Sus scrofa: one gene and its partner. Each later gene encodes a partner of the first gene's protein in a complex. Links are inferred from orthologs where the notes say so. Each region holds a gene or a part of one and is shown on either strand. Other genes may lie near its edges.

The links.
Region 2: the proteins of PIGT (region 1) and PIGU are in contact, whole or in part, in a cryo-EM structure (PDB 8IMX), measured with the Homo sapiens proteins. The link is inferred for Sus scrofa from reciprocal best matches to the Homo sapiens genes PIGT and PIGU. Residues at the interface, in NP_057021.2 of Homo sapiens: Tyr361, Gly362, Leu363, Gln364, Lys365, Arg394, Leu395, Tyr396, Val397, His398, Tyr416, Pro418, Ala419, Gln420, Asp421, Arg422, Gln445, Glu447, Leu450, Leu451, Lys452, Trp453, Thr454, Pro518, Thr519, Pro520, Asp521, Phe522, Ser523, Met524; in NP_536724.1 of Homo sapiens: Glu30, Lys42, Arg43, Val45, Glu46, Ser49, Leu50, Leu53, Val55, Ser59, Gly60, Ala61, Val62, Pro265, Asp266, Leu267, Pro269, Leu273, Trp275, Tyr276, Phe277, Phe278, Ala279, Glu280, Met281, Phe282, Glu283, Phe289, Phe293, Asn296.

Annotation. Positions count from the first base shown.
Region 1 is NC_010459.5:47,734,075-47,738,197, reverse strand, and holds the start of PIGT (GPI transamidase component PIG-T), read right to left. Parts: upstream 2,860-4,123; 5' UTR 2,819-2,859; coding exon 2,632-2,818; intron 2,084-2,631; coding exon 1,906-2,083; intron 646-1,905; exon of another isoform or gene 368-645; coding exon of another isoform or gene 237-367; intron 1-236. UniProt on the Homo sapiens protein: Component of the glycosylphosphatidylinositol-anchor (GPI-anchor) transamidase (GPI-T) complex that catalyzes the formation of the linkage between a proprotein and a GPI-anchor and participates in GPI anchored protein biosynthesis.
Region 2 is NC_010459.5:37,983,428-37,987,074, forward strand, and holds part of PIGU (phosphatidylinositol glycan anchor biosynthesis class U protein precursor), read right to left. Parts: intron 2,551-3,647; coding exon 2,426-2,550; intron 1-2,425. UniProt on the Homo sapiens protein: Component of the glycosylphosphatidylinositol-anchor (GPI-anchor) transamidase (GPI-T) complex that catalyzes the formation of the linkage between a proprotein and a GPI-anchor and participates in GPI anchored protein biosynthesis.

The DNA.
Region 1 (4,123 bases):
GGGAAAACAAGCATAAGCATCAAATGAAATTCGGTGTCAGAAAGACCAAAACAGAGTTGCTCTTTATAGTAATAATAGAATCAGATTAGAATTCTGAACATCAGCTCCATATTATAGGCAATTATGAAGGGAGATGTGACAGCGGAACGGTTGGGAGAGAAGGCAAGGAAGCCAGAGTTCAGGCAAGAGAGAAAGGCTTCGCAAGTTCAGGGGCTTGCTCCTCATTTGACCATCACCTTGGAGCTGTCCTGGGGTCTTTCAATAATACTCTGTTCAGAGCTTCCCAATTGCTCCAATCTTTAGGCCTCAAATAAAGATGGCAAACTGCAAGTTCAAAAGCTCTACTCAAACCATAGTCATGTTTCATTTGATATGCACAACATTAACCCACGTGACATTTCTTAAATTTTTAAATTACTCGCTGATATTTAAATTTGGCAAGTTTCACATTAAAATCCAGATTTCTGATATTGCTCAAAAAATGAGAGTATCAGATGACAGCAGGCTTCTATTCCCACATAGCCACATCCATAGGGGCTGAGTGGCAGCTGTCCTCCAGAGCTCGCCAGCCTGCTGCAGGCCCCACCTCTCTATTACTATCCTAATTTTTTTTTTGTTTTTTAGGGCTGCACCTGAGGCATATGGTAGTTCCCAGGCTAAGGGGTCCAATCAGAGATACAGCTGCCGGCCTACACCACAGCCTCGGTAACGCGGGATCTGAACCACGTCTGAGATCTACACCACAGCTCACGGTAACGCTGGATCCTTAACCCACTAACCAAGGCCAGGGATCTAACCCACAACCTCATAATTCCTAGTTGGATTCATTTCCTCTGCACCACGATGGGAACTCCCTGCTATCCTAAATTAAAAAAAAAAAAAAAAAAATCACGTATGAGCTACTGATTTCCCACAGGGGGGTTAAGAGGAAATGTGGTCCAATTGCAGTACCTAACCCCACCCCTCGCCCAAACAAAAGCAATTTTTCTAATACAGAAATCTGGCATCTTGTGGGCCAGTTCTAGTTCACACATATTTTGTTTAGTCCTCACGACATTTTATTATTATTATTATTATTTTTTTTTTGGTCTTTTGTCTTTTTAGGGCCAAACCCACGGCATATGGAGGTTCCCACGCTAGGGGTCTAATTGGAGCTGTTGCTGTTGGCCTATGCCAGAGCCATAGCAACGCCAGATTCGAGCCACGTCTGCGACCTACACCACAACTCATGGCAATGCTGGATCCTTAACCCACTGAGTGAAGCCAGCGATCGAACCCCCAACCTCATGGTTCCTAGTCGGATTCGTTTCTGCTGCGCCACGACGGGAACTCCTATTATTATTATTATTATTATTATTATTATTATTATGTGAATGAATGTCTTTTGGTTATCCATGGAGGAAGTTCCCATTGTGGCTCAGCCGTAAGGAACATAACTAGTATCCATGAGGATGCAGGTTCTATTCCTGGCCTCGCTCAGTGGGTTAAAGATCCAGTGTTGCCATGAGCTGCAGTGTAGGTCACAGATGCAACTCAGATCTGGCATTGCTGTGGCTCTGGCATCGGCGGGCAGCTGCAGCTCCGATTTGACCCCTAGCCTGAGAACTTCCATATGCCATGATGCGGCCCTAAAAAAAGGATCAAAAAAAGAGGGGGGGGGTACCGAATCTGCCAGAGCTTTCTATTGCCTCTATAGATATATGCACATGCTACCTTGGGTCTGGAAGTACTGGGGAAAAAGGTATATTCAGCCTAGGCAAGAATGCCCCCAAGTCAGAATATTTCTTGCATCCAACGCCAGATTTACCCCCATGGAATTGCTGCCAAGGGCAGTGGTAGGATGACAACACCTGCCCAGCCACATTCCCACCAAGGCCTGCCGCAGGCCTCAAGGTGAGCACTCACTCAGTGACAGTGTCTTGGAACCAGACCCAGAGCTCTGCACCTGACGGGGCCTGAATGAAGGGTGTCCCCCAATATCGAGTCCTCCAGAAGCCTTGGGTTAATGACAGGTGCAGCTCCCGCAGAGAATACTTGGAGATCAACTGCCCCAGGGCTTTGGGGAAGAGCCTATAATGAGACACTGGAGAAAAGGGAGCAGGTGAGTGATGATGATCCTGGAGGGAGGGTTCTCAGACACTCCAGAGAAACAATACACCCCAGCTCTGGGTTCAGAGGAATCTAAACTCCAGACCAGATTCAGTCACCTACTAGCAATGTCATCTTGGAAAGGTGCCTTTACCTCTCTATGCCTCCAATCTCTTTTTCATAACCGTTCACAGAACTTAGCACTGCGCCGAGCACCCAGGATAAATGGTCACCTCAAATTGTACCATCATCAGTGTTGCAACAGAGGGTTCTAACTAAAGGTTTAGAGTGGCAGCCTGGAGCTGCGGAAAGAGCACTGGACTAGAACTCAGGAGGAGTCACTCCCCCTCTCCAGGCCTCAATTTCTTCATCGGTACGATGGGATTGTTCAACAACTATTCTATCCTTCCGCGAGGACCCTGTTTGTCCGGCCCCACGACCAGGGGCCAGAATCTCATCCAGGAATCAGTCCCCGCCCCTAGGCTAGCCTCCGCCCCACTCCCAGCAGGTGTCACAGTACCTTTCTCCCATCAGCCTCCTCACCTTCTTCCCGCTGCAGATCCAAATCCCAGCGCGTGCGGAACTGGAATGTGGCGGCTACGTCCCCAGAAGGCAGCGGGGTGATGACAAGCTCCTCCCGCAGGCTATCGCGTGGGGATTCTGCCTGGCTCCAGCTGCCAGGCCCCAGGAGCAGCAGCACCGACAGAAAAAGCGGCACCGCCGCCGCCATGCCTGCGGCTGCTTCCGCCTCCCAGTAGTCCCGCCCCCTTGGATGGCCGGCCTCCAATAGGAAGAGCGTAGGAGAAGTGACTTCCGGTGCCATCCTGAAAGCGGGGGTCCGGCTACCAGAGCAAACGGCCTAGATGAGCCCCTTCAGGACTGGTGCGGGTAAAAGGATGCTGAGCCGGCACGATGGGTGGTGGGCACGTGAGGTGGCTCGGGCCTGGACTGAGGACCCCCTTCCCCGCGAGAAAGTGCTTAATAATATCGAGCGTCGCTGCAGCCATTGTCCCTCCGCTATAGTTGAAGAAACAGACTGGGTTCGATCCCTGGCCTCGCTCAGTGGGTTAAGGAACTGACCTTGCCGTGAGTTGTGGTGTAGGTCGCAGACGCGGCTCGCATCCCGCCTTGCTGTGGCTGTAGGCCAGTGGCTACAGCTCCCATTGTACCCCTAGCCTGGGAACCTCCATATGCCGTTGGTGCGGCCCTAAAAAGACAAAAAAAAAAAGAAAGAAAGAAAGAAAAGAATAAAGAAACTGATGAAAATGATTACTTTTGCGAGGTCGTACGGCCAGGCTCCTGCCTCCCTTAATTTCTTGTCTCTATTTGCTGGGCCTAGCCAGCTCTTCTGGTGCAGAACTTTTGCACAAAACTCTGAAATAATTCACCCTTTTATTATGAAAAATTTCAAACATACAACAAAGTTGAAAGGCTTAACACCTGTTTACTCATCACCCAGATTCCACAATTAACATGTTACTATGCTTGCTTTATCACAGTCTATAACTTCCTCAATTCATCTTAAGTTTTGATGCATTTCAAAGAAATTTCAGACATAAGGACACTTGCCCTTATATAGTTCAGCATCCATACCATTAACTAGAGTTCAATACTTGCTTACATTTTTCTTTTGATGTAAAACTTACAAACATGAATGCACAACTCTGGAGTGCACATTCACTGAGTCCAACAAATAGATATACATGTGTAACTGCTGTTATGTGTCTGTAAACCCCCTGAAATTTGGCTAATGTTCCTTGCCAGTCAATCCCTGGGCACGCCACCTTCCAGAGGCAACCACTGTTCTGACTCTTCTCCACAAAATGGATTAATCTGTTCTAGAGCTTCATATAAATGAAATCATCATTTGTTATGTATACTTTTTTGTAAAAGGCTTGCTTCAGGGGAAGAATGTTTTGGTGAGTCGTTCATCTTCTTGCATGTATGAGTGGTTTGTTTCTTTTCATTGCTGTGTAGTATTACTTTCTGAATATACTGTCATTTACCTGCTCTCCTGTCTGGGTACACCTGAGCC
Region 2 (3,647 bases), about 9.8 Mb from region 1:
AACTAGGTTCTGGGTATATAGGACTTTGTTGTGTTATTTTTTATAATTAATGTGTATTTTAAAATCAGTATTCTTTTATCACTATAAAACAGTTAATAAAAACAAAATAAAGCACACACACACACAGACACACAATCCAGCCCTTTGGTAATTGGCTCTTTGAGCTGGACCACTGCAGGCTGGCACGGGCTCTGCCAGCAGGCTGTTCCCTAACACCGCAATTGCGCGTTCGTATGATTCATCCTGGCCCCAAGCCCCACAGAGTCCCAGCGTCTGGGACCTGCACTCAGGGAGGGGCCCACGTGCCTCTTCTCCCCACTGAGCCGGACAGAAAAACAAAACAGTGAATGTGCGAGCAGGCATGTTGGCACTGGAACTAATGTTTAAACTGAATTCTTAACCACATTAGAAGGCTGAATATATTCAACCTAGGCACACAGACTCTGCAGAATCTCCACAGGTCCAGGCTGAATGTAATGACTCACAGCTGCCATGCCCCAAACAGACATCGTGAGCACGAGTACCTTCTGCCACAGGAGCTGCGCCTCGAGAGGTGGCAGCCCAGGCTCTCTGCAGGAACCTTCAGATGAACTAAACTTGCCCAGCCAGCCAGCAACAGCATCTATTAGATCATCCAGGGTTTCAGAAACGCCATCCTTATTTTTTTGTGCCTCACCACCCCAGAGGGCATAAAATAGCTTATTTCAAGTTTTGAAAAATATGTTTATTTCAGTGACTCTGAATGACTGTGGGTACCAAGCCTAAGGCTGGCTTTGATCATAAAACTATGCAGGAGACCCCTCCGCCCTGCAACCCCTGCATAATTATCACTACTATTAATAACTGCAGTGCTATTTACATTTTCTTCTTTCTCAAACTTGAAACGCCCATGAAAGATATTCTCCCCATATGACAGATGAAAAAAACGGGAGGCTCAGAAAGGTTAAATAACTTGCTATAATGGGAAAGCCAGGACTCAGACTCAAGGCAATCTGGCTCCAGACCATGTTCAGCAATAGGAGATGAAAGATATTCCCCGAGGGAGATGCAGCCAAAAACGACTCCATTTGGAGGGGAAAGGGGATCAACATCCCCAAGACCCACCCTGTCACAAACTGGGGTAGGTTCCTATGCCCTGTGACTTGCCATTGGCCACTCTGCCAAGGGGCGCCAGGCGGACTCTGAGGCTGCTGGACTGGATGATTCTTGACTGTGTAATGAGGGTGTCGCAGGCAGAAGATGCCACTTCCTGCTTCCAGTCAAGCTGCCTGGCCACCACCCTACCAGGCATCACCTGCAGGAGCAGCAGGGCTTGGCCTGCCCACTCGCCTGTTTATCTTCACTCAGAGGCCCACTCCTACAGGTAGAGTTCTTTCTAACAGCTGATCAGTTTCACTTCCTGGTTGACACCCAGCAGTCCCAAAACAATAACAAAGACTTGCTTCCTCTGAAGTCTGCCCTGCCTGGGTTCATTCTTGACACCTTGCTGTGCACCCACCTTAGGCAAGGAAAGTTCAACAGTTCCCTTCCCGGTTTAGAGAATCGAGTGGTACTGGGCCACTGGCACTGCCTCTTTACTAGAGAGGTTTCAAAGAGCCAAGCACAAACATGTGCTGAGTTGTTCTGTGTGTCAGGTTTGATCTTGGGTGCTGGAGACACAGAGGTGAGGGAGCCATGAGCCTACCCTTGGGGAGCCCACAAACACTGAAAAGAACTCACATAGGGGGTGAAGAGCCAGACTGAGGGAGACACTAGGAAACACTAGAAAGCATAACTAGATCACCACTAGGCCACCTTTTGAGGAAGGGATGGTTAGAGCTTAAGGGGTCTTCACAGCAGGCAGGAAGTCTAATGTTGCCTGTCTGTCTTCTGTGGATCTTTCGACACACCACTGGGAAATGGTTCAAAGCCAAGGCCTAGTGCCGCACTGTCCAACACAACAGCTACTAGCTGTGTGTGCCTTCTTAAATTGAAGTTAAAAATTCAGTTTCTTAGCATACTGGTGGCTATTCTATGGGACTATCCACAGAAAGCCCAAATGGACAGCACTGGCTGGAGGCTCACAGGTTTGGAATCTGACGCCAGCCCTTCTACCTACCAGTCAAGGAACAAGTGGCTCTACTTTTCTGTACCTCAGTTTCCTCATCTGCAAAATGGGGATACTTTCTTCAGAGTCTGGTGTGAAGATAAAATGAGCCAACGTGTGTAACACTCTTAGAACCACAGTGGCCAGGTATACTGTAAGTGCTCAATAAACGTAGTTATTTTTATTATCATCACTAGTCCACAGCACCAAGGAGGCAGATATTGTACATGGTGTCCCGGCCGATCAGTGCTGCTAGCACAGCAAGTGCCTATTCATTCCTTTTTCCCTGGCCGGGGGACACCAATCTGCCAGCATGGGGTCAGAGGTAGGAGTACTCACATCTGTAGAGGTGGTTCCACACGGGGAAGAAGGCCATGTAGAGGGCCACATCCCCCACGGTCGGGTAGGACTTGAAGATGGAGATGATGGCAATCTGGATGAACATGAAGAAGACAGGGTGTTCCCTGGGGAAGGCGGGGCAGGGCAGACAGAGAGAGGAAGGTCAGTCAGGGACCAGGCCACCCCAGAGACTCCTGACCCCACCCCTCGATTCAAATCCAAAAGTACTCTCTGGGGTCTTCACAGAGGGCTGGCTCTGCTACCCACAAGACACAGGGCCAGGCCAAGTAGCAGAAGCAGAAAACTGCGGGGACCGGAAGATGCCCAGAGGTGGGGAGGAGAGCCCAGCAAACACTGAGAAACAGTCCACAGAGACACTTCCCATCAACCCCTCCCCCACCGCTCTGAGCCTTCCCCCAGGAGCTGTGGAGGAAGAAAACAAATGAAGTCAGCGTCCTTTATTACTGGGCTTAAATGACTGCTTGTCAGCGTAAAGAGGCAGCCGCCCTTGCCAGAGGCCCCTCTGACATTGGACCCAGGGCAGGAAGTGCCTCCTTGCTGAGGCTTTTCTCTCTGACAACATGGTCAGTGGGGTCCAGAGACCTTTAGCTATGATGAGCTCCTTTCCTGAAAGAGAACTGAGAGCTGCATGCAGCTTTTCGCTCTTAAGGGCTGGAAATGGAGTTCTTGCGTCCTTAATCTAGTAAGACTGGCTGCCATTTCCTAAACCCTCACTCTAAGTCTTATGCGAGGTCCTTTTCTTGCATCAATGCATGTGATCCTGACTACACTGCAACTGCACCTCGAGGTAGGCAATGCCGTCACTGCATTTTGCAGATGAGGAACTCAGGTTCAGAGAAGGTAAGCAGGTTCGTAAGTGGTGGAGTTATTTGTCTCCAGAACTGCTCAGCACCACCAATGCTGCTCTCCTGAGTGCCAGAACGACCACAGCTCTGATCAGAGAGGGTGAGACAGAACCCAATTTCTGGTGCTCCTCCTCTGAGAGCTGACCAAGGGCTGAAGGGAAGCCAACAGGAAGGCTTACACCTTCCTTAGTACCATCTAAACAACATGCACATGCCCTACTTCTGCCCAGTAATCTGGATGCCTAGCTCACGCAGCTTTTCCTCAGAGTAATGGCATTCTTGTCTGGCAGGGCAAAGGTCAGGGTGACTCAATGGGTGTAAATCTAAGATGTGGAGACAAATGTGTACACACCCAA